2 linked regions of the Alligator mississippiensis genome follow. The protein of the gene in region 1 binds, or shares a complex with, the protein of each later gene. Links are inferred from orthologs where the notes say so. Each region holds a gene or a part of one and is shown on either strand. Other genes may lie near its edges. The genes, in order: CAB39 and STRADA.

The links.
Region 2: the proteins of CAB39 (region 1) and STRADA are in contact, whole or in part, in a crystal structure (PDB 3GNI), measured with the Homo sapiens proteins. The link is inferred for Alligator mississippiensis from reciprocal best matches to the Homo sapiens genes CAB39 and STRADA. Residues at the interface, in NP_001124321.1 of Homo sapiens: Leu26, Glu27, Lys28, Gln29, Tyr55, Gly56, Thr57, Asn58, Ala85, Asp86, Gln88, Leu89, Phe92, Glu93, Lys96, Arg107, Glu138, Leu141, Ile145, Ser176, Thr177, Phe178, Asp179, Ser182, Asp183, Glu221, Asn222, Tyr223, Val224, Arg227; in NP_001003787.1 of Homo sapiens: Pro64, Leu104, Glu105, Cys107, Ser108, Asn109, Val112, Gln116, Leu119, His120, Lys123, Leu124, Phe125, Asn126, Thr136, Phe137, Ile138, Asp140, Asn141, Leu143, Tyr185, Met189, His223, Gly224, Arg226, Val426, Asp427, Asp428, Trp429, Glu430.

The regions. Positions count from the first base shown.
Region 1 is NC_081830.1:44,515,246-44,527,067, reverse strand, and holds the start of CAB39 (calcium-binding protein 39), read left to right. Parts: upstream 1-5,954; 5' UTR 5,955-5,978; intron 5,979-5,989; exon of another isoform or gene 5,990-6,112; intron 6,113-6,794; exon of another isoform or gene 6,795-6,894; intron 6,895-11,822. UniProt on the Homo sapiens protein: Component of a complex that binds and activates STK11/LKB1. In the complex, required to stabilize the interaction between CAB39/MO25 (CAB39/MO25alpha or CAB39L/MO25beta) and STK11/LKB1.
Region 2 is NC_081827.1:158,676,653-158,688,804, reverse strand, and holds the start of STRADA (STE20-related kinase adapter protein alpha), read left to right. Parts: upstream 1-5,544; 5' UTR 5,545-5,621; intron 5,622-6,960; 5' UTR 6,961-7,006; coding exon 7,007-7,042; intron 7,043-9,389; coding exon 9,390-9,447; intron 9,448-10,934; coding exon 10,935-10,963; intron 10,964-12,152. UniProt on the Homo sapiens protein: Pseudokinase which, in complex with CAB39/MO25 (CAB39/MO25alpha or CAB39L/MO25beta), binds to and activates STK11/LKB1.

The sequences.
Region 1 (11,822 bases):
CTGGAATTGAATAAGACAAAGCCCAAAGAGGAGAATTACCAATAAAGAGCAGCATAAATCCAGCCAATAATAAAATAGTTTTTGCGGCAATTTAATGCAGTAAAAAAAATATAGAAACAGATGGCAAATATTCTTTATTTGAAAGGTTTCGCCCTCATTTTTTGGACTGCTTTTAACATTTTAAAATATCTGCCTTCTGTGAGGCTTTGAAATGGCAGGTGTCATCTTTTAGAATCTCCAGCCATGGGACAAGACTTATAGTAAATAAAGCAGTGGGAGTCCAAGGTCAGTGCTATCTTAGAAACCTGTCATGCTGAATGGCACATAGGGCTTGGTTCTTACAAGTGCCTAAGCTTCATTCTTTAGATGCAGGTACTGGCTGGCATGTTAGTTAGGGCAGTGGAGAAGCTGCTCTTACTCACACCAGCAGAGGATAGGTGTCATGAAGCTTCATCCTATCTCAGTCCATATCCCTCCAACAGGCCTACTCTGCTGGTAATGTGATGGCCCTGCAGAGTTTCTGTCTCAGAAGTGTTTTTCACTGGGCATTTTTGGCCACTTCGCTCAACTCGAATAGGCTGGCAAATCTGATTCCTAAAGCACTAAAAAGTATTCAATAGACATCAACTAGTTCTCATAAATGCTCTTGAGTGTTAGGTAGTTGATGGGTAATGCAAGATTAGGGCCTTTCTTCCTCAGGCCTGGTGATGATAGAGAGGGAATAACTTAGTGGTAGTCCATACTACAAAATAACTATGTTTAAATTGAGTTGTGTTAGAAGCCGGCAAGGGCTGCTGTGAAGCAGGTCTTTGATCAGGAAATCAAAGACCTTTTTAAAGCGAGATAAATATGCTTCATTCTCATCAGTTAAGACGTATTGAGAGACTGACAGCTGGAAATGATAAAAACTAGAGCCTATGGGACTGAGCTTCATGGCAAGGCCTGAATAATTCAGGCAGAATAAAAGGGATTTCCCAGAGACTGGTTAAAAAATGCAGGGAGTGAGGGATCTTGGGGCATCTTGTAGACATGACACACACAAAGCTCAAGAAACCAACTGACAGTGAGAAAAGCAAGTGTGAGCATGGCCTGCAAAGGAGTAGACAGACACCATCCCCTGGCCTGCGAAATAGCATTGGTTGGAGAAGAAAGCTTGTAAGTATGAATAAGGAAACTTTCTTGTTGTTAGTTCCTTCTTTGCTCAGGGAAACAGGGCTTTGAGTATGTTATTTGGAAATAAACAGGAATTCATTGAAAAATATACCTGACTAAAATGATTTCTCCTCTTCATGGCAACAACCCAATGAGGTCTCAAATATTGGCTAACCTCTCACCTAAAGGAAGCAATAGTACTGTGATGAGATGTTGCTGTGGTCAAAGTTGTTTTTCCTTGCTTGTATCTAAGTTGCATGACTCCAATATGTGGTTTCTGCCCACAGAGGCAAGGTAAAACAATACTGGCAAAACAAGGGATCCACTGAGATGGAAGCAAAATGATCCTTGTCCACAATAACTTTCCAACCAAAACTATGGCTCTGTCTGCCTGAATCTTTTTTCTTCTAATGTTTTTCTAGTTGCTAGGAGTGGGGTACCAGCTGCAGCAGCAATGCCAGTGCAGAAAAGCTGCTTGTGGCTGTACTATTTAAACTATTGTCCTATCCTGCCTCCCCCCCCCCCCCCCAGCCGGTCAGGGTTAGATGACACAGTGGTTTACATTTTTGTGTCCAGTGGAAGTGCACTGGTTGGAACAAGAGGTAGATAATTCAGTGCTGAAGGCTATTTAGACACAGCTCACATTAAAAAAAAACAATGTAGAGAGCAACCTAAAGCAGACTCCCTGCTTCCAAACAACTTGGCCCTTTTTGTGAGTAGTATGTATGTGAGAGATACGAAGTGCTCATTTTGTAGGCTATCCAAGTTCTGTTGAATTCCATACTAGTTTTACTAATTGGCAAGTTAAGCTAGTGTTGCTAAAATGTAGCAATGTGACAGGGCTTCACAAGGTGATATTTATTCCTTCAGGATCAGATGATAGGGTGTTGGATAAGGGAAAGCTTTCACTGGCATCTCTCTCTTTTCCCTTATCAGTATTAATATTAGTATTTATTACAATATTGCCAACAAGCCACAGTCAGTCAGATTCCAATTAGTTTAAATCCTGTAGAAACACGTTTCCCTTCCTCAAACAGAATGTTTCTAGCCTAAAGAATTTATATAAAAAGACAAATATCAAAGAGGCCTGAGTAAGCAGAATACAATCAAATATCAACTTTAATACACACACGCACCTTGGCAAATGTTGCATGGATAAGAGAGTCATTACTTTTTGGTGAAAAGTCTTTTATCATCCTTGACAGTTTGTGCAAACATCGTTATTACTTTTTCCTGTGTTTTGGACATGGACGTAGAAAGTCTCCCTCTCCCCCTCTCTTTCTTCTCTTTTTGCTGATTAGCTAAAAAAATGCTTCTCTCAGGGCTTGAGCTATACTTAGTCTATCCATGCCTCCACCTCTAGTTTATAGTCACTGATTCTATGTTGGATGAGAAATTGCCTTGTCTTAATATATTTAATGGTACTAACTTGGCTTAGCACATCTCACAGTAACAAAGCAGCTTGTTCTTGTGACAGGGACTTTCAGCAGTCCTAGCTATTAATGTTTTTTATTTTTCCTCCCAAGGGGTTATACACTGCTGTTTTCAGTTTTAATCTAGTGCAGTGCTTCCAAAACTTTTAAAAGCTGAGCTTTCTTCAAGAAAATTAGCTTGATTTTTGCCCTTCAACTGTTGCTAAATGCTGCTAAAGGACCAACCTTGTCAGTTTAAACATTTTCTGATCCTTCTCTTTTTTCCTTCATGCCCCTTAGAGAGGTGCTCCCAACCTTGGGAAGTACTCTAAATGTGTTCCACATGGTGGGAAGGGGCTACTTGCTGTGTTGGTCAGGTTAGCATTGCTGAACTCAGGGAGTGGTGAAACAGCAGTGAGCGAGTCATGCTTTCATTTAGATCTCATAGCTGATCCTTCACTATAACTCGGGGTGCACTGATAAAGATTTTTTTGCTAATACTGATGGCCAATTATTAACCAGCCATATCAGCCGATACTGATCTGATTGCCAATTATGCAGCCTGGCAGCTTGGAGAGCAGTGCCCAGCCAGTAAGTCTGGGGGAGGGGCAGATCAAGGCCACCATGGTGAGGGAGGGCATGGAGCTGGAGCTGGGGCTGGGACAGGTGCTTCCCAGCCAGGGCAGGATGGGGCATGGGATGGAGCCATAGGTGGTTCATCCAGAGGGTTTGGAAGGGTGGGAAGGGAAGGTGGCTCCTGCCGTGCATGCACCCCTGGGGGAGGTTTGGGGCCATATGCCCCTGGGTCCGTGTGTGAGGGGAGGGAGTGTTGCCCAGTGCGGGCTCGGGGCCAGGGGCTGCACCAGCCTCTTCTCCGCGGGGCCTGGGCTGGGGCTGTGCTTGGGGTGGATAACAGAGGTGCTGGGAGGTGGGGCTACGGGTGGGGGGGCGGAGTTACAGCCATCCCAAAATTTGCTGTAGTCCCCCCAAACCCCCACTCCCAGCACCACTCCCGTCAGCCCTGCCCCACCTGCCCTGAGCACAGCCCTAGCTCAGCCCCAGCCAGGAAGAGACTGATGCAGCCTCTGGCCCCAAGTCCACAGTGGGCAGCCTCCCCTCATCCTGCATACAGAGTCAGGGAACACCCCAGGGGTGTGCATAGTGGTGGGAGTGACCCCCTTTCTCCCCTCCCCCCCATCCCTGGACAAGCTGCCCGTGACTCTGTCCTACACTCCACCCCACCCCTGTTTGGGAGTGCCTCCCCTGCCCCACACCTTACCCTCACCACTGGGGCCTCAATCTGCCCCCACACACCCCTCCCCCCCCGATTTACCAGCCAGACGCTGCTCTCCAAAGGCCACGTGCATGCTGCGGCTGCATGCATGCACACAGAATTTATTGGTGACATTATTGGCTACACCTGCCAAAAAAAGCTGGTTACAGATAATGTCAATTTTCCCTTTATTGGTCCCAATACGATATGGACTGATATAATGGTGAACCTCTAACTATAACAGTGGCCAACTTGCAGCATGGGTGCACAAGTGGTATGGGCAGCCTCTGTGTGTGGCACATGTTAGATCAGGGAGGGGATAGGCAATGCAGCTGCACATAGGGCAGGAATCGAAAAGCAAAGCAGCACATTGGGCAGGGAGAAAAGGGAAGGAAGTAGAAAACAGAGTAACAGACAGGGCAGGGGAAGCGGTTGGTGTGGCATTTGGGTAGGGTTCAGGGCTAATTTGTAGCTTGCCTGCCAAAAAGTTTGGCTCCTACTGCTTTAGTACTTTGTGGTGCAGTGTTTGTTGCTTTGGGTGATATGACACCTAGAATTTGGTTGGGGGAGGGTCTATGTTGAATAGAAGGAATTGACATAACTCTCCCCCTGCTTTATTGATGACACTTTGAAGTACATAAAAGTATTTGTTGCAAAACTACACATAATGGAGTTTCTTCTGTGGGGTTGTCCCAAGAGTTAAAACAGGCTTCTTATTTGGGCGCAACACACTCCCTCCCATACAGGAAAACAGAAAGAAGTGTTCTGTTGAATATTTCATGGGAGGTTCATGTTTACTTGGTGCTTTATTATGGTCCACTGAGGTGCTGTTTGTGATACTTTTATAGCCAGTCTGAGATTTTCATGTGCACATATTTTTTGGTCCAAATATGTGGAATTTGGGGCACATTCCATTTGTTTCTCCAGAATAAGATTTTAGTTTCTTGTGGCTGTCTTTTGAGTGTTTCTTCTAAAATGCCATGGCATTGTTCTTTCGCTGTTGGCTTTGGCCCATGTACTATATAACACGTGCTAGTTGGAGACCATCCTATGCAAGTGATGACCTAACTAGTTCATCAAAATGAAAGTGGCAGCCTATCAGGGAGCTGTTCGGTCCCTGGCCTGGGTTTGGGGGGGTATTCCAGTCAGACTGGTTCAATTGCTTAATGATGTAATTGAGGGGTGTGAAGGATACAGCCCACTGTGCTGCTGTGGACTTGCACCCCACATGCGGTGCATGCCGGGCTGACCTTGCACACTGCATGTGGTGCCAGATTCACAGCGTGCTGCATGAGGGACATGGGCTTGCCGGCGCACACGGCATGCAGCACAGAGCTGGCCGGACGCGCCTGCAGCGCCAGCACCAGATGTTTACATGGCAGGGGAAATACCATGACCATGATGGTGGCAGGGGAAGTGCCCTGACCAAGGTAATGCAATTAAAATGGCACTGTGTAGCAGAGTTGCACCCTTGTCTGCTTGCCCACAGGACTCCCTACGACTTGCTTCCAGCGAGAGGATCTCGGCTACACGCCAAATTTATTGATGTGGGAGACCCCGCCCTAGCTTGCTCCTGTGGCCGGAGGGCTGAGGGCGAGTGAAAGCCACGGGCACCTGAACGCCTCCGGGCAGGGGCCTGCACGTAGGACACCCGCCAAAGGACCTGGAAGTATGTGAAGCCGCGGGCGGGGGCTGCTTGCGCGGAGCAGGGCCACACGTGGTTCTTGTATGATTCAAACGGATTTGGACCTGATCTGGTTAATTTGACTTGGGCCACGAAAAATGTTCCTTAAATAAAAGCAAATCCCAGACCAGACCCGTGCAGTGCAGCAGCGCCAGGCCGGGCTGTGAATCCTCCCGAGGCCCTGGGCCTCTCCTCCGGCCTGCGGGCAACGCCTCCCGGCCTTGAAGCCCCCCCTCCGCCTCCAGCCTCCGCCCCAGCCCCTCGGGCTCGGCTGCCTCCTGTGGAGGGCGGGCGGCGCCTCACGCGGGCCGGGGCGGGACCAGGCCGCGCCGCCGAGTCCGCCGCGCCGCCGGGGGCAGCAGCGAGCGGGGCCGGGCCGCGGGGCGCAGGCTGCCGCCGCCTCCGCTGCCGGCTCGTCGCTGGGATCCGCCGCCGAGGCCGGGCCGGGGAGGGCAGGGTAGGGCAGGGCAGGGCCGCGCCGCCGCGCAGCACCCGGGCGGGCAGCACCAGGCACCAGCGTCGCAGCCGCGGAACAGGGAGCGCCGCGCCGGGCTGGGCCGGGCCGGGCCGGGCAGCGCAGCCCCGCCGCAGGTACCGCGCTGGGCTGCGCCGCGCCGGGCTGGGCTGGGCCGGGCCGCGGGGTTCCGTGCGGGGCCGGCCCCTCCCCTCCCCTCCCCTCCCCTCCCGCGGCGGGGCCGCTGCGTGCAGCGGTTGCTGCTGCCCCGGGCGGGTGTGCGGGGCGGGGGTGCGGTGCGGGGCCGAGGGAGCCCCCGGGGTGGGTGTCCGGGCCGGCGCCGCTGCCGTTGTCTCTCTGCCGCCGCCTGCTCCGGGGAGCTGCTCGTGCGCCGGGCTCAAACTTTCCATGTCACCGCGGCCCGCGCCGCGGCCTGGGCCCTGCAGCAGTCGGGCCTCGGGCCTTGGTGGTGGCTCTCAGCAGGGCCCCGCGGCGGGTTTGGGGGGATGCCTCACAACCCCCCTGGGCACTAAATCCTGTCACCCTGCGGCCCTGATACGGCCCTTCCCCCCGGGGGTGGGTGGGGGTGGGGCGGGGCGGGGGGGGGGGTCACTGGAGAACAGAAGAGTCCCCTCCTGAAACAGGGTGGGTTGAAGCCTTGTGTTTGACTTGGAGAGACCTTGTGTGCTTTCATCAGCAAAGCACATCTGTGGGAACAGGATAAAGAAAAAAGTCGAGTCTCAGCCTATTGTCTGTCAGGCAGGCGGCCTGTGAAACTTTAAATATATATTTGAGGTCTTAATGACTTCTGTAATTAAATTTGCAAACAGTCCCATCCAAAGACATGAGTGCGGGCCCTGCTCAGCAGCAAATGTGTCTTCCTGGAGCATTTTGGTGCTTGTGCTGTCGGATGTTACAGGTAAAATGGAGCACCCCGAACATGAGCCCTGGCAGCCAAACTGTTTAGTTTGCCCTTAAATAATATAGTTATTTCTATTGAGCAAATGGTTCAAAACTGCACGCCTTCTGTCTAACGTATATTGTTGTACATAGATGATTTTTTTTAGTTGTATAAAGTGACTTAAAGGACTTGCTGTGTGAATTAGGAGAGGCGTGGTAGTTGTTTCAGTGTCAAAAGAATTTCTTGACAATGTATTACTTTGTGTGCAGTTGATACACAATAGAAATCACGATAAAGACATCCCAGGACCCTGTTTGTTTGTACAATTGTCTGTCCTTGACTTGCTCTTATAGGAATATTGTTTTTTCAGTTAGCTCACTGGTGATCTTGTGATGTTTGAAGCGACTGAGCCAGCCGGTCAGCCTAGAGTTGACTTAAGTTTATTTGTTTATTGTCTTGGCATCTTATGGGTAGTGTGATTCTGTGAGCAGTTCAGGCTTTTTTTTTATAGACAGAAAAGGAAATACCACAGGAAAATGTGAGATTGTATCTTAACATTATAAAAGAAAACAGCGAAGGTGTCTAATAATAAAATATACGTGTTGGGGGTGTGTGTGTGTGTGTGTGTGGTTTTGTCACAGTGTCTTAAAATTCTAGTTTTGTCAATTGGGTCTTCACATTTCTTCCTCGTTCACATAAATCCAGGACTTTAAGCATTTTTCTGAGGATAAATTGCTTTACTGGTTCATCTTGGATTTTCAAATAACACAAGGCTATAAAGGCCTAGAACGGTGGTTGCCAACCAGTGGATCTCGGAGCCTCTTGGAGTCAATCCGAGGCTGGGGTCGGGGGCTGAGTGCCCACGTGCATGAACACATGTGCCCCAACCCAGCAGGTCAGTCTATGGCAGAGGGTAGGGGTGGGGGCTAGAATAAGGCCCCCGCTGTGAGGAACAGTGCCGCAGAGGCAGGACAAGGGGTAAGTTGAGTGGTGCCCTGGCCCGGTGGGACTTATCTGTTTGGGAGGCATGCCCCCAAATAATTTTTTCTTTTTCTGCCTCGATCTACCCCTCAACCCCTTCCCACCCCACAGACTTACCTGCTGGGCAGGGGGGAGAGTGGCAACAGCACACCATAGTTCTTGGGTTGCTTTTACATGCCAAAGGTGATCTCCTGCTTAAAGGTTGGAGACTGCTGGCCTAGAAGTTGTAGGGTTTTACTGGGGATATGCATATTTTTTCTACATTAATAAAAGGAGGCAAACTCTAATATGGTAGTTCAGTAATACTCTATGACAGTATGGTTTTGAGAGATAATTATACTCCTTGGGTATTATCAGGCACAGACAAATGTTTGTTCCCAATGGGGTGTGCTTATGCTAAGAAAACTCCACCTCTTGGAATTCTTGATTGCTATTATAAAATGTTTATTCAGGGGGGAATTAGATATTTCTTGCATCATACCGTCAAAGTTATTACTGTAGCTTCTCTAATTAACTGGTGCTATTCAAGTAGGCCTTACTGTTTGTGCTGCGTACTTTCTTGGTTCTTCAAATTCTTTGTAAAGACTAGAATTCCAAGGTAGTGCCGTTTCCCCAGAGTTTCCCGTCATGTGAATTGTTTGTGGAAAGAATAGTTTGTTAAAATGAGATCATTATTTAGAATTAGGTACAGAGCTGAATAACTTAAGTTTTAAGCATATTAAGGGCTTAAGCTAAACTTTTAAGGCCTTGTTTCAAGACTTATTAATTGCCATAGAAAAATTCTGGGTTCCTTAAAAATAGTAACTAAAATGAAAAGATTTCACAGCAACTGGAATGCTGGTAAAAAAAACACATGTTAATGGGATAAGGTTACAAGAATAACTATTTAAAAACACATTAAGATTTGCCATTTTCTACTCTTCAGATGCCTTCCAAGGTTCTCTGCTGCTTTTATGAGCAAAAATGAGATGAATACTATTTGCAAGACAATAACAAGAACAAAAAGGCAGGAAAATCAAGCAACATAATTGTCAGCTCGGCCACATAATCATAAAAGAATCATAATTTCCCTGACATCTTCCATCATACCCTGTGGACATCAGCTTTTTTATTGAAAAGCATTCACAAAGGCTGGGGAACAGAATTTCTAAATTAATTGCATGCGAGCAGTTGAGTGGCACAAGGCATCATATATTCTGGTTTATTTTATAGTTGTAGTTGGAGCACAGACATGCTAGATATTCTTATTAGACCTCAGGAAATGTGCTGCTTTAAGCAGGAGAACTGTTTCTTAAGCTACTTCTTTGCTTAGGTTCTTATGGTGCCACCCGGCTCTACCTGCTGCTTGATTTAAGACTAACAAGACTAACCACCTCTCTTACTAATTTGGGTGTATTCTTTATTATGATTTTTTGCAGGTTAATTCTATTTGCTTCTCTCTCCTTGAACCCCTTGTTGCATTTTAAGAGTTTTGTCAATGTAAATGAAACTAAATTATACTGTAGTAATGATACTCTAGTAATGAGAAGGAGAGAATTGTAGCAAATATACCAAAAATCCAAATAAGAAGGTGACGCTGTCTTGCTTAGTTCTAAGAACCTTGGTCAAGATTTTTTTTTAAAGTTCTGTGGTTAGCTCCTTCCTGCCATATTTATCTTAATAAGTGGCTGACATTCCAAAGCACTGAGCACCTAATAACTAGTCATGTGAGTTGGGTATTGGAGCTAAACAAATTTGCATGCTCTTTTTATCTTGCCAAGTAATAAAATGTTGTTTTCAGTTTTCACTGTTCAAATACCTTGTAAAATGGAACAAGTTCAGTATTGAATCACTCTGGAAGTAGCCACATAGTGCATACAGAAGCAAACATGGTCATAACTCAGAATACATCATGACCTATTTATTTTTTTTCCCAAGTAACATCAAAACATCAATTTAGGAAGTAATTTTTTTTGTCAGGTTTTAAATAAACTGGCTCAACGTGCAATCAGACTCCCCGGTTTTGAGTGTTAGCTAGTGTCCTATGTGGTCACAGGGTACTATAAAAAGTTTCAAACTATAGAGTTTAAATAGGCAAAAAGGAGGTGTGAGCTGTTTGGGTATAATTTGAATTTGAGATATCTCTGGAAAACTCATAGACAAAGACATAACTTTTTGGGAAAACTAAACACTGTAGCTCGTGTCCATTTAATGCCCACTTACTAGTAATGGTACGCTACTTCCAATTAAGTGCCAGTTTTATTGGTGAGTTGTTGCTGAAAACGGATTTGTTGCGCAGATGTCCTGCGTACTCCTCCCTCTTCAAGTTTTCATAAAAAAGGGTTCAGTTTATCTTTCCTGTAAGACGGTCCTGAAACCTAAAAAATTATTTAGTGCAGATATATTTAAATATATCAGTTCAGAACAGTAGGATTTGGCTTTTCAGAATTTCTCTTTTGAGTGCGGTTTTAAATGTTTCATACACCGATTACCTTGTAAGTGAAATAAATTTCAATGTAATGCTTTTGGTTACCACCTTGTTATAAAGAATTGTTACCATTTCTTACTAGCTTTGAAAACAAATGTTACAGTACTTCATTTTATTACTAAAAGCAGTATTGTCAACAGTTAACTAAAGCAAAAACTAATTACATTTTCCACACCTCAAAACGGCTGAGCAACGTAGAACTGGGACTGCAGTCAAATGTTTTAAAATGGCTAGTTTTTCACTGAGTTTGGTATACATGTTTGTAGGAAAGACTAGTTCAGTTAGTGTTTAAATAAATATGTGAAGATAGTGTACAGAAATGTAAATCTCTAGTGATGTTATGTCTCTTCAGGCACATTATCAAAATTATGACAAATATTCATGGAAATGGACAGCTTGGAATTTCAAGCTGCTAGCAATGAGAAATCTTTTATGACATTAGTGATATTGAAACAGTCTGCTTAAACCTGCAGAAATACATTAATCTAGGATGTTAATTTACACATTTTAAAAAAGCGTTTTAATATTTATGTCTATGAAGGCAGCCTTCTTAACATAAAGGGTTACCGTACTGTCTTACTGAATCTAGAGCAGCGATTCTCAACCAAGGTGCTGCAGCACCCTGGGGTGCCATGAGTTCCAAAAGTTAACGCTCTTAGGTGTGTGAAAATCAATATATGATTCACAAGATAAACCTGGAGATTTTGAATAGAAATCCAGTGTCAAAAACATTATGACCTGTCATGGTCTTTCTCAGTTCTTTGCAACACAAGAATTGCTTTTTTATTTTTCTATAGTAAAAAACCAGGTGAAAGCTGAGAGAGCCTGCATTTGTTGCCTGGAGTCTGGAAATGTTGAGAGCCACTGTTGCTGCTCCTAACTTTCCCAAGTAAAATGACATTGACAAGACTCTCAGCATTGCATTTCAATTTCTATTTTTAGCCAAAAGCTCACCTATGAAAGTTTGTTATGGGTATGTAGATTTTTATCATGCATTAGTACATTATCTTCTAGTATCCATGCTTGGAAATGTGGGGGAGACATTTGAAACAAAAAAAACAACAACTCTACTCTGAAATAGAACTAATAGTAACATTTCCTACAGTGATTATGCAGACACATGTGCTGACAGTGCTTCAGTACATCCTACCATGATAGAATCTCTGTCTGTAGATGTGTCTGAGTAAGCAGTTTCAATAGTTGCTACTGCAGTTATACATAGGAAGTAAAAATTTAGGCAATAGCTTAAATACGTTTTGTTTTCATCAGATTAGTGCAAATAAGACTTGCACACCTCCATCTATTAGTTCATTTTACATTAAAGGAAGGCAGAAACCCTACAGCGATGAAGAAAGAGCCATGGATAGTTTCTAAGACATACCATGTGCTATCATCCTTAATAAAACCATGCTTCAGTTGTAGAGTAAACTCACATTTTCTTTATTAAAATGTGGGTGTTTTTCTTCCACTTAAGTGAGGCATTAACACAGGCTTAAAT
Region 2 (12,152 bases), on another chromosome or scaffold:
TGTTTCTATTTAGAGGTGGGGGGCAGTTTTCTTTTAAGTTTAGGGAAAGGAAAACATAGATCCCCATGTGACTAGTAAATTGCACAGTAAACATTGTTTAGTGTGTATTTATATGCTTGCCTGCATCAAGCTTACTTAAAAAGGTGCAAAACTTAGAGCCTCTATATGGTATGAATATTTCAGGGATATAAACCAAGCATAGTTTTAGGAAAATCATTTTTTGAAAAACAAAAGGCACTGAAACAGTATTTCATAATCTGTAGGCTTGATTGGCATAGACAAAAGCTGTACATCCGTTATGTATCAGGGAATGGCATACAGGAGCACTGTTTCTTTCTTGTAGTTCTGAATGCTGCAAGCTTAATACAATGTGAATTCTGTACTTGTAAGTGTGTTTCTTATGAAGTGAGTGCATGGTGAGCTGACAGCTTCATTTAGAGTTTCATAAATATTTTAAACTTTACAAAGTCACTTCTTAAATATTTTCCTCCTGGTCTGAGCAGCTGCTGCCTATTTAACGTTCACCCAGAAGCTAGATTCTCAGTGAAATATCTGTACAATTTCCCCTTCTACCAACTAAGGGAAAACTCTATAGAAGATAAGCATCTTTTTCATCTGTTAAAAAGGCTGTTTACTTCTGGATTTTCAGGTTGGTTGGTTGGTTGGGGGGAATAGACACCTGCGCAAGCACCTAGCTGTCTGTCAAAGCTTTTGCATTTTATAAATGCTTCCTATCTAGAAGGCATTTTATTGTTGCTTGTAAGGGACACTCTAGTTTTGTGAGGGGATAATCTTTGTCTTTTGCATTTTCTTGTTTAATGCTTTATGTGCAAAACTTGTTCTGAGGCAATAACGATGACTTGCTGTTGAAACAGCATGTGCTAAAAGACTTTTTGTTGCAGCATGAGACGCTTCTTCACACTAATCTGAATGCAGAAATCTGTAATATGATACATGCAAATATATTAATTTTATAATAATTGGTGAAAAATAATTTAAGCCAAAAATTAACATAAGATTTATGTGGAATTTAACTATTTTAGCATTACTTAGCTTTGAAGAATGAGATTTAATATAGTATTTCACAAAGTTCTTTTAAAGAAAATACCATTAATTTGTGCTCTTTTCAATAAATGGAAAGCTTTCCTGAAGTCCCATGAACTTTTGGGCCATGGCAGCTAATTTTGTAATATGAACTACCTATGGAGAGTAAAATATAACTGAAACATTCCAACTGCCTTGACTTTGGACTCATTCCTTTTCACCATCTCGTATTACAGCCCTTACATTAAAAAAAAAAAAAAATCAATATTAAAACAACTTGCTATAGTTATATTTTTTTTCTCCACTCTTCTTCAGCCTAACTTCTTTGTGTTGCAAGAGTGTTGCCTTCTAACAGAAATTGTCGTGTTTGTCATTCGGGATGGAAATTGCCATATTTGTATCCTTCTCTTAGTAAGAAGAGAGCCAGCTTGTTTCAGATGATTTCAAACTTCTCACTTGGTATAGATGAAATGTAATTGTCCCAACACTAGATGTCAGCTCTTTCTTTTAAGGAACATTTCCTATTCATCTGTGTTTACAGCTAGAGGAAAATGGGATTCTAGAATACAGAGCATAAATCAGGTGGTCAAAATATAGCCTGTGGGCTAGATCTGGTCTGCTGGTTGATTGCATCTGACCCATGCCCTGTGGTGCACCGCATGGGGCTGAGCTCTGCCTGTTCCCGCCCAGGGTATCCTGTGCTGAGCTCCAGCCTGTACCTGCCCCATACCTGTTAATAGCCCCATAGCCCTGACCAGTGTGCACAGCTTCCTGGCGGGGCTGCTTCTAGTCACCTGCAGGCAGCTGCTCATTGTGTAGGGCAGACAGAGTGGGTAGAAGGTGGTTGGGAGCTGGAGCCCTGTGCACTGGGGCCAGGAGCTGGCTGCATGTAGCTGGGGTGACTGGGATGGCCACTACCAGTTTCCTGCACTACCTGCTGCCTGGACTGGTGCAGCAGGGGCAAAAAGGAGGAAGAGAAGCTGGGCAGCTGCAGCAGGAACAGCCCTGCCAGGAAGCTGCGTATGCTGGCACAGTGCCTTCGGTGGGAAAGAGCAAAGCTCGTCCCATGCAGAGTACTGTGGGCTGGATGCAGGGGGGAGGCAGACTGTATCTGCACTGCACCGCCTGGGCAAGTACATGTCCCCTCTCTCACCTCCATCCCTCCCTCCATCCCTGGCTGGCTGGCTTTCGGGACCTAGCATGTGGGTACCCCCACACACTCACCCCCTCCACCTCCACACCCCGTATACAAGAGTAAGACTTTATTTTGAGCTATCATGCAATTGCCTCTATATGCACTACTCAAAAAGCATAAATCAGGATAAAAATATTGTTTAATGAAATTAAAATATGTTTTTTTTAAGATGCTTGATTTTTAGCCATATGGGTTTTTATCTACAATTTGTTAAAATGGTATCTTCTGAAAGATTTTTGTGTGTGGCCGTCCACATCTCGCTAAAACTAGTTAAGTGGTTTGCCAGCCAAAACAATTGCCCAACCCTGGTGTAAATTCACAGCCCATTCTCGGATAGCTAACAGTGCTAAAAATCTTACAACAAAGTATTAATATTTTTAGGTGAAAGATGAGTCGCAATGGAGGCTTGTTATTTATTTGTTTATCTTCCATTTCAGTATTAAAATATTAATGGCGGTGGAGAATAATTAACACTTCTTGCATGCCTTGCAGAGATTTTCAGAATTTTGAGAGTAGTTTGGCAACTGAACAGAATACTTAAAGAAAAAAAAAAAGCATAAACCAATACTCCAGTCTTCCATATGCATTAAATTTAAAAGTGTTGGAGCATTTCAACTGTAGGGCAGTGTTGGGTTTCAGAGAAGCTTTTGAGTTGAGAGCTTCCTACCACCATGAAACTGATCTTCGGGATCACAACTGAGAACTTGGATGCAAGAGTCAGGAGATGAATCTCAGTGAAAATTTGACGCCACCTTTAATTCTATCAGTATCTATCCCTGTCACCCATGTAAAGTCCCATTCATATTTCCAAGATTGATCTATGCCCCTGAATCCATGGGTCTGTTCCCTCCACATCCAGGCACAATTTTCCTTTTCTTTTTCCTCTATAGATATGGAGAGAAGAGATTCCATTCCCCCCACAACCCTTCCCCTCCAACATACAAGACATCAGAAGCTGTATGAACTTGTCTGCATTTCTTGGTGTGTTACATAGCCTCTTTATGTGTTTTAGTTTCTGAGTCTATGGCAGGTGGCCCCTTCTGTGAACAGGCAGCAAAGCGAAAGATTTGGTTTCTTAGCTTTTGGAATTTTGGTATATTTTCAATATCCATCTCAGCTGCATGAGGCAGCATTATCATTTATTCTGGCATAGCTGTGTGGAACCATTGACTGCCTTGGACCGTTCTTCCTTGTAGGAATAATAGTTCTTAGCTACTTCTGGAAGCGTAAGTCTGCAGACTATGCCTTTCTGATAAACTTACATAAGCCTGATTGCAAGAACAGTGTAGAAGAATAAATGATACCTGATCTGAAATGAGGTGTTTTTTTTTCCCATTAACTAGTAATAATATCAGTGAGAGATGATCTTACCACCAACAATATTAAAAATGCTATGTGACTGAATCCTGCTCAAACTTGTTTAAGATTAACAGCTGACTCTATTTTTATACCCTGTAACAACTGAGATACCAACTGTTGTACTAAAGAAATTGAACTGTTTGCATAGCTGAGCTGGCTTTCCCATTTTTCTTTTCCTCTAACAAATGCTTTGTGTTGAGTTGGTAGTGTTGGAATAATGCAGCCATGATGGCCTAGGAATTGTGAGGGGCAAGGATTATTATGACTGATACCTTTTTATTGGACCAGCCACATGCGGACTTAGAAAAGCTGCTGGATGCATTGCATCAGTCATCGGATCAGATTTGCATTCAGCAGAATTGTATTGCATTCAAAAGCTTGTGTAAGCATACCCCAGCCATGCAGTTGGTCAAACAAAACATGTCACCCGCTGTGGTCCTTGCCTCTTATACTGACTTGTGCATCCTCTAGGACAGAGGTTCTCAAACTGGTCTGGGGGCCACCACTGGTCCGCGTGCTCCATTCAGGTGATCTGCAGAAAGGCTGCGGAACAATCAAGAATATCTGTACTTGTAAGACAGCTGATATTAAAATATGAGTTGCGTGCTTTGATTTGTAGAATGAAAAAAAGTTTAGCTGAGATCCTCAACAATTTTCAAGTGGTCTGCAAAAAAAAAAAAGTTTGAGAACCACTGCTCTAGGAATTTTAGAGGAAAGGTGCAGCCCTTTATGAAGCTGTCCAATATAACTTGTAGTGATGGACTGTTACTAGTGATGCAGGTTCTGGCCTTGGGCACGGCCTGTTTGACCTGAACATGTTACTGAACTTCTTTGCCTTGGCATGACCATTATGATGCTGAGCTCCTATTTAAGCATGAATTAAACCAGTGAAGTAGGTAACTGAAGTTTTAAATACTGCTTTGAGGTCCTTAAATGGAAATCACTGTAATGGTGTAAAATTGCCTGCTGTTTATGTGCTTTGTGATGACAGGTGCCCCTTGCTGCTCTGAGAGAAAAGTGTGAGACTTGACACAAAACGGCAGCTGGTAGGAGAACGGAGGGTGGCAAAACTGCCCCCAAGGGCTGTCTGGCTCAGGCCCGGGATGCAGTGTTACTCTCCTCTAGGCTCCCTTCGCTCATGTTAAACAGCGACTGCCTGGCCTGCAAACTCTCCCCAGCAGAGACCAGGTGTTGCCAGGTGTACGATAATTAGCATGTTTGTACAATAGTTTCAACCCTTGTACAACATACGATCAATAATAGTACAAACGTTCAAAATGCATGGATAATTTTGAGGCAGCTCATTGATGCAGCACATTCATCACCCACGTCACTCTCGGGATGTCTTAACTGAGGTTTGGGCTTGCTCCCAGCTCGCTCTCGCCACAAAGGGACTTTGATCCCGAAAGCTTGCAGAAAAGGCCCATTTTCTTGCGATTTCCCAGTTGGTCTAATACCAGCTATCATTTTGGAACCAAGAGTTCTAGTTTTTTTGTACGTCTTCAAAATAAAGACTGGGTTTTCGGTCATAGTCATGTTGGTCTAAGGACATGAGCAGGCCAGGGTCTCGGGAGTAGATGTGATCTCTCTTATTAGACCAACTGAGTAGTGGAGGGGAAACAAATTTGGCAAGCTTTTGGGTGGGGCGGGGGGTCTGCTGGCCTGAGGCTCCAAGGAATGAAGACACGTTTCAACGCTGCTGCCCCAGTTCTCGCTCACGGGCGAGTCCCAGCGAGCAACGTCAAATAAAGATGACTTGCCCGCATGTGTATGTCCGGGTTTCTCCAGCGCACGGCCGGCTTCCCGCACACGCGGCATTTCCGAGCGTCCCAGGCGGGCCTTTCCTACTTCAGACCCACGGAGCCCCGCGGGCAGCACCTAGTCCCTGCCGCGCGCTCCTCCGCTCCGCCCCGCCCCCGCGCAGAGGTCACGGCGGCTGTCACGCACGCGTCACGTGGTGGCGTCATCACGCCGCGCACGCAGCTCTGCTGCGTCCCGGGAACCGGCGCCTGGAGCCCGAGGAGTGAGCGAGTGAGTGAGTCCGCGCGCCGGGGCTCCTTGCCACTGGGTCCTGCACCCCCTTCCCCTCCCCCGGGTCCGGAGTGGCCCCGGCCCTCGCGGCCGCTTCTCCGCAACCTTCCGTGCGCCCCCCTCGCCGGGAGCCGGGAACGACCCGCGTCCCCGGCCCGGCAGCGCCCGCCCGTGGGAAGCAACAGAGTCCCGGGTCGCGCCCGAGCAGCACGACGGGCTCCCCGCGCAGTGCTCTCATTTCCCGCCTGCCGCTGCCGCCGCCTTCCAAATGGCTGTGCCCCGTGTCGTGCTGCCAGGGGGTCAGAGCAGCGCTTCTCGACCAGGAGCCAGGCCCCCTGCGCGGCTGGGAGATCCTCTGGGCCACCGGCGCCTCTTGGATCTGGGGGGGACCAGCAGAAGCCACCGATGGGCCCGGCTGGCAAGCACCTGCAGAAGCTGCCAATGGTGGTGGCCTTGTCAGGGAGTCGCACCAGCCCTGCCCACGTCAGCATCAGCTGTCGGGGGTGGGGGGCACTGGCCCTGTCGTGGGAGTGGGGCATGAGCACCCCTATGCACCCACTACCAGTTGCCTGTCAAGGGCAGTTAGCGTCACAAACCTGATTCGCCAGATAAACTGTTTCTCATCTCTGAGGGGTCTTTCAGAGTTCTTTGCAATGGAAAAGCTGCTTTCTTCTTTTTCTGTAGGCAAGAAAAGAGCGAAAACAGCATTGGCATTTTTGAGGGCTGCCTTGAGTCTATCCAGTGAGACCCCTGGGTTTAAAGAAATGATTACTGAAGGTTTGCAGGGCTGGACCTGGCTCGAGCCCGTAATGCTAGGTCAGCGATGTGCAGCCAGGGAACTGCGGCACCCTAGGATGCTGCAGGATCCTTTTAAGGGTGATGCACAGTATTAGCACTGTAAGTGTTTGCACACCTAACACATGATTCACCACATAAACTCATGTATTTTCTAATAGGCTTCCTTAGCATCAGAGACATTCTGATCTGTTGAGGTCTTTCTGAGTTCATGCAACAGCAAAATTGTCCTATTATTTCTCTGTAGTCAAAAACCAAGTGAAAGCTACATTGTTGGCACTTCCAAAGGGGCCTTGGGTCTAACAAGGGGTTCCTTGAGTTTAAAAAGGTTGAGAACCTCTGTGCTAGGTACTGTGCAAACACGCCATGAACATCCTTTCCCTAAGGAACTTGCTGGGTATTGGTCTGTGCATTGCATGGTAATCAATGTGTGATAGAAGATGTTTGGTAGGTTGTTTAGGTTCATAAATACTGGTTTTCAAAACTTGCTGCTACATGTTGTACAAATAACTGATTTCTCTTTTTCCTATTTTCAGGATATTTTTAATTTCACAAATTTGGAGTATTACAAATCTGGATTCCATGTCTTTTCTTGTAAGTAAACCAGAACGCATTAGGGTGAGTGTTATATGCCTTTTAGTTTTATTCCAAATAGCACTGCATCTGTATAAATTGTTCACTTCCATACATGAAAAGGTTGCAGGAATGAGGCCTGGGACTCGAGTGCCATTTGGACACAAGGTCTTCAGGGTTCTTATTACCTGAAACTTATGACCTGAAAACTAGATTTTTAAGTTTATTTCTAAAAATGCCTACTTGCAGAGGGAGAAATACTTCTAGAACCTATTGATCTCTGAGCAAGGTACTATATGTGCTTACAATGTGCTTGTATAATATGATAATAAGCATTCATTCTCTTCAAGTATTGGTCATTCAGTAGAACCTTATTACAAGGAACCATTTTTATAGCAAATCCTCCCTTTAACAGTCCCGACAACAGGAACCAATTTTTTTCATTAACTTTATTATAGCAAACACCCTCTTAATGAATTCTTCTCTTGAGTCCATGGCAGTTTGTTATAATGAAGTTATACTGTTTTTGCTGTTGTACAGTTGTGGTTTTATATAATTCCTTATAATTGAGAAAAATTGCAGAAATATTAGTCTTCCACCTCCTTTCTCTTTGAAAACATGCTTTTGGTTGGCCTTAGCGCATATATTTTGGTTATTGTTCTAAACTTAAAATTCATATAGAAATTTTATATTTAACTTGAATGTTCCTTTTTTAATGGTTGGAACAGGACAGCTTTGTTCTAGTGCTTAAAAATCAGGCAGCAAATAAAATAATTAAAATTAAAACTTGAAAATAAGTTACATGGAAAATGACTTAAGGATGTATTTTTTAATATAAAACACCAATACTGCAGGTAGGGAAATGCATCTTAAATATCAATTTAATTTTTTTTAACCTGTATGGAGTTGAACTGAAAGATCAGAGCAACATGCCCATCAGTCTAACTGCTACCCTGAGTTTTAAACATTGTTCAAAAATGTTCTTTTGAAAGAAGCTAACGCTTCATTAGCATGTGTACTTTTACTTTTAATATTTAGTTTAACTGATAAAAATAGACCTCTCCAAGGCAGTCGGCATCTAAACACATCATAAGAACGTTTACGAGCACTAGAATGTTTTGCAAGAGTAGGAGTATGAAGTATAGCATGTTTTTTGGCCTGAGAGTGTATTTGGCCTTATTTGCTAGTGTAGAGCTTCCAGATTGAGTGATATGAAGGTACAGTAGAATCTGAATCTTCTGTAGCCAAGTAATTCAAAACCCACTTAATTCACAGTGGTTGCTGAATTAAGGATGAGCCATTCAGCTGTTTGCTGTGGCTGGTGTTCTGAAGGATGCTGTTTCTCTACTCTGCTGGAGCGCCACAAGTTGTCCATCACAGTTGATCAAAAAGTGATGCCTTTTGAAATAAAACAGCAGGAAAGAGATGGAACACTCAGGAGTCCTGCTCAACTTTTCTGCAGCTCTGTATACCTCTGGTTACTTCATAGACCCTCATCTTTGCAGGGAGTAAGGAATTTAAATCCCTCAGAGTATCTTGAACCTCATGAATTTGAAATGCAGGGGACCAAAACATTTCAAAGTCAGTATAAAAGGGTTCAAATTATCCAAATTACTGTGGGTACATACAGACTTAGTTCACCTGCATGCAGACATTAGTAACTGATAATAACTGAGCCGCTATCCCAGTGACTAATTAAGCATACTTTATGGTATGCAGCACAAGGAGTTCCTATTGTAGAACAACAGCAATGATCGAGGGACACTTTCTCTAGTTAGCTCAGTCTAAGTGCCAGCACCGTCTGCAAATTTGCCATCCCCAATTCCACCAAACTGTCCTCCTCCCTCTCCCCCAGTATACCCGCTGGCACTAACCCCTGATCGTGCCAAACTGCCCCAATCCTACCAAACTGTTTCCAAGAGTTTATGGTCCAAGGGACCAGAAAATGACTTCAAATTGCAAGATAGCCATATTTCAAATTTTCTATATCATAAAGTATACAAAAACGTATCTTTTCAGCTGTGAGTGACAGTAGCTTTGAAGGATCCAATACTTTAAACTATCTGATATTGAACTAACAAAGTTTTTCCTATACTAACTGCTCTGGAATCTTACATTATCCAGAAGTTGGTTGTGTGCTGCCAGTGGGTGTATGCCATTATACAGATATGGGAATGTTTGCCATTTGAAATAGAAATAGTTGGTTATGGCAGATTGGAAGAGGAAGGAGGAGGGGGATATCTCAGCTGATCAATGAGCTCCTGTTTGTACTGTGCAAGTGTTAGACTAGTTAAGTCATTGGTATAATTCTGTCTTGGGTGATACTGAAAAAAAAAGCTGGTGAATGTATCTAGAGAAAATAATTAACTGGCTTTGGGGTTTTCTTCTTTAGAGGTGGGTGTCCGAAAAGTTCATTGTTGAGGGATTAAGAGAGTTGGAGTTGTTTGGAGGTAAGTACTGTTTTGTTTTTTTTAGATCCTTCAATAGAAATCTTGTTTATTTTGAACGTGAAGGTACCCATCAGTTTGGTGTAAATTAATGTCTAACTGCCACCGGAATTAACATATCAATTTGTAGTACTAAGTTTTCAGATTGGCTCACAAAAGTGAATTTAGAAGGAAAATAATTTGTCATATTATATACAGGAGTTGCTTTACAGCCTGTTGTAGTGCAGGTGTCAGGACCTTTCAGTTCATGGTTCATAACATTGTCTGAATAACCTGTTCTCTGTGTTAAGTACAGATTTTGAGCCTGAAAAAGTTACTTGCAGCTTGTTAAATTTGCAAGTAAAGACAAATGTTAAAACAATAACCTTACAACTTCCCAGTATAGCTGACACACAGTGAGCTGGGTTCTGTTCTGCCTCATACCTTATCACAATTGGCAGCTGAATTCTGGTCATAGACCCTCTGGTAGGTGATGTAAGCAATGAAAGGAAGATATTTGAGGTGGAGAAAAATCCATTTTACTGATGAATTGAACAGATATGATCTTTCCATGTTTGGCTTTGTAACTACATTGAAACACATTTTTCTATCAGATGTTGTTAGACTCTGTTCACTTTCACCATGGTTACAAGCCAGTACCATTTAACAGAAGTCCTTAGTATAGCTTTTGAAAAATATTCCTGCTAACTAGGCATCAAAACCAGATTGGTTGTACTGCTCAGTAGTGTGTTAAGCTACAGGGATACCAAAACTGTTTTAGAACCTGACTGTAGCTAGTACATCTTTGCTGATGATGAGGCCTGGACTATTTCCAGGGTTTTTGTTTTTTCCTGACTTACCAATGCTTCTTAGAAGAAATAACTTGTAAAATATCTGCCACAGTATAAAAAATCTGATTTAGAACCCTTTCTCTGAGTAGCTCTTAACCCCAGTATAAATAATGTAATTACATCTGATTTTAATGTGACTTGTACTTGGGTTGAGAGTGGATCTACTGCATTTATCTAAGCCCCTTGCTGCCTAGCAACACTGTTAGAAGTAGCCTAAGAAGGTTCAAATAAGATTTTTTGGTACTTTAGGAGATGTGGAATTCTGCAAAATATTTCTCCGTTTTCTGCATCTCTCTTGTATGTGTTGTTAAACATTCTGAGATATTATTTAAGTAAATTTTCCCCCTAAATATGTAAATACATCCATATCATCATCTTTTAAAAAATGGATTAAAGATCAGAAATTTAAAAAAATGTATGGCTGATGATGAGGCTGTTTGAATCTGTTTAATTTCTATGCTTTTTTATTACATTTCTACCTGTACCATTCTTGATGTTTTTCATGCTGTTTGTAACTTACCATTGCAAATTTAATTGTAAATTTAAAATGTTCTGCCTGGGAGTGTTTACCTGTGTGTGCCTAGCACCAAAAGATTACTTTTGGGTTATTTACATATCTGTTGAAGAAAACATGGTGAACGATTAATTTCTTTAATCCAGAGCAGCCTCTGGGTGACTCTCGGAGAAAAGTAAGTGATTTTTTTTGCAGGCTGTGGTGCTGTGTTTTATTGCATGGAGATATTTCCTTGTGGAAGCTTGATTTTTCTTTTTACCTTATTTATATGTCATCTATAGATTTAGATTACATTTGTGGAAACAGGTTTCACCCTGGAAAGCAGATTTTGGTGTGTAGTTTTGAAATGCTCGCATGTGGTGGTTCAGTCATAATTCTAAAATTTATTCTCCAAAGCTCATGTTTTCAAATTGGTTACTGCTTCTGTATACTACACTTAAGTTGTCTTGCATTTGTTTCTCAAAAGCACCAAGCACCTGTAGTCCTATTTACCTAAAATCATTTGAAGCTCTGTGTGTCCTGAATGTTTGAAAATTGGGGCAGCGTTTCAGGTTGAACATTCAAAATTGGTACCTACTTCTGAACATTTTTACTATAATTTCCTTTCTTTACTTTCTACCAATTCACCAAAAGAGGACCCAGCATCAAAAAATAAAATTGGATAATCTTCAGTTTTAAAGGGGCTTTACCCTGCAAAATTCCATTGCGATTGCTATCTGTCTGACTTGCTTCAGAGCCCACATTGCCAAAGTTTCATGCCTTTAACTGGTGCTGCATTTTGCATAGACTGTTTCACATTCTTAAAGATGAAATCTCCTGTGGTGCCATGAAATACAAACCAAACATGTGATATAGTCAAAAACAGGACAGTTTGGACTAGTCTAGTTCTTGTGGTCCTGGCCACAGAGGTTGTCTTAGCCTTTAAATTGGTATTAAATAAGCGATAATTCTGATAATGATAACTTTAAGCTCAAATTTATGTAACAATTTAGCTTATGCCTACAATTTTACTTGTGCAGACTAAACGGATAAAAGTCAGGGTTATATTGGATTTGGTGTTTCCAGAGGATATATCCTCAGTTTAAACTCATTGTTTTACAGTGATGTCTTTTGTTAGGTTGTTGCAAGATTGTGTTTAGATTAGTCTAGAGACAAAATGCATCTATTGTGCGTAATTTGTCTTTCTAAACAGAAGACATTAGTGGGTACGTAGACATCTTTGATGATGATGCTGAAGTTTTTTGCATTGAAAAAAGCACCAAAATAACTTTTCTATTTGGGTAGCTATGGAAGCAGGGCAGTAATTACTAGGTAAAGGAAATTATTGTAACTTGAGTCAAAAGTGAGCATGAGACACTTAAGTG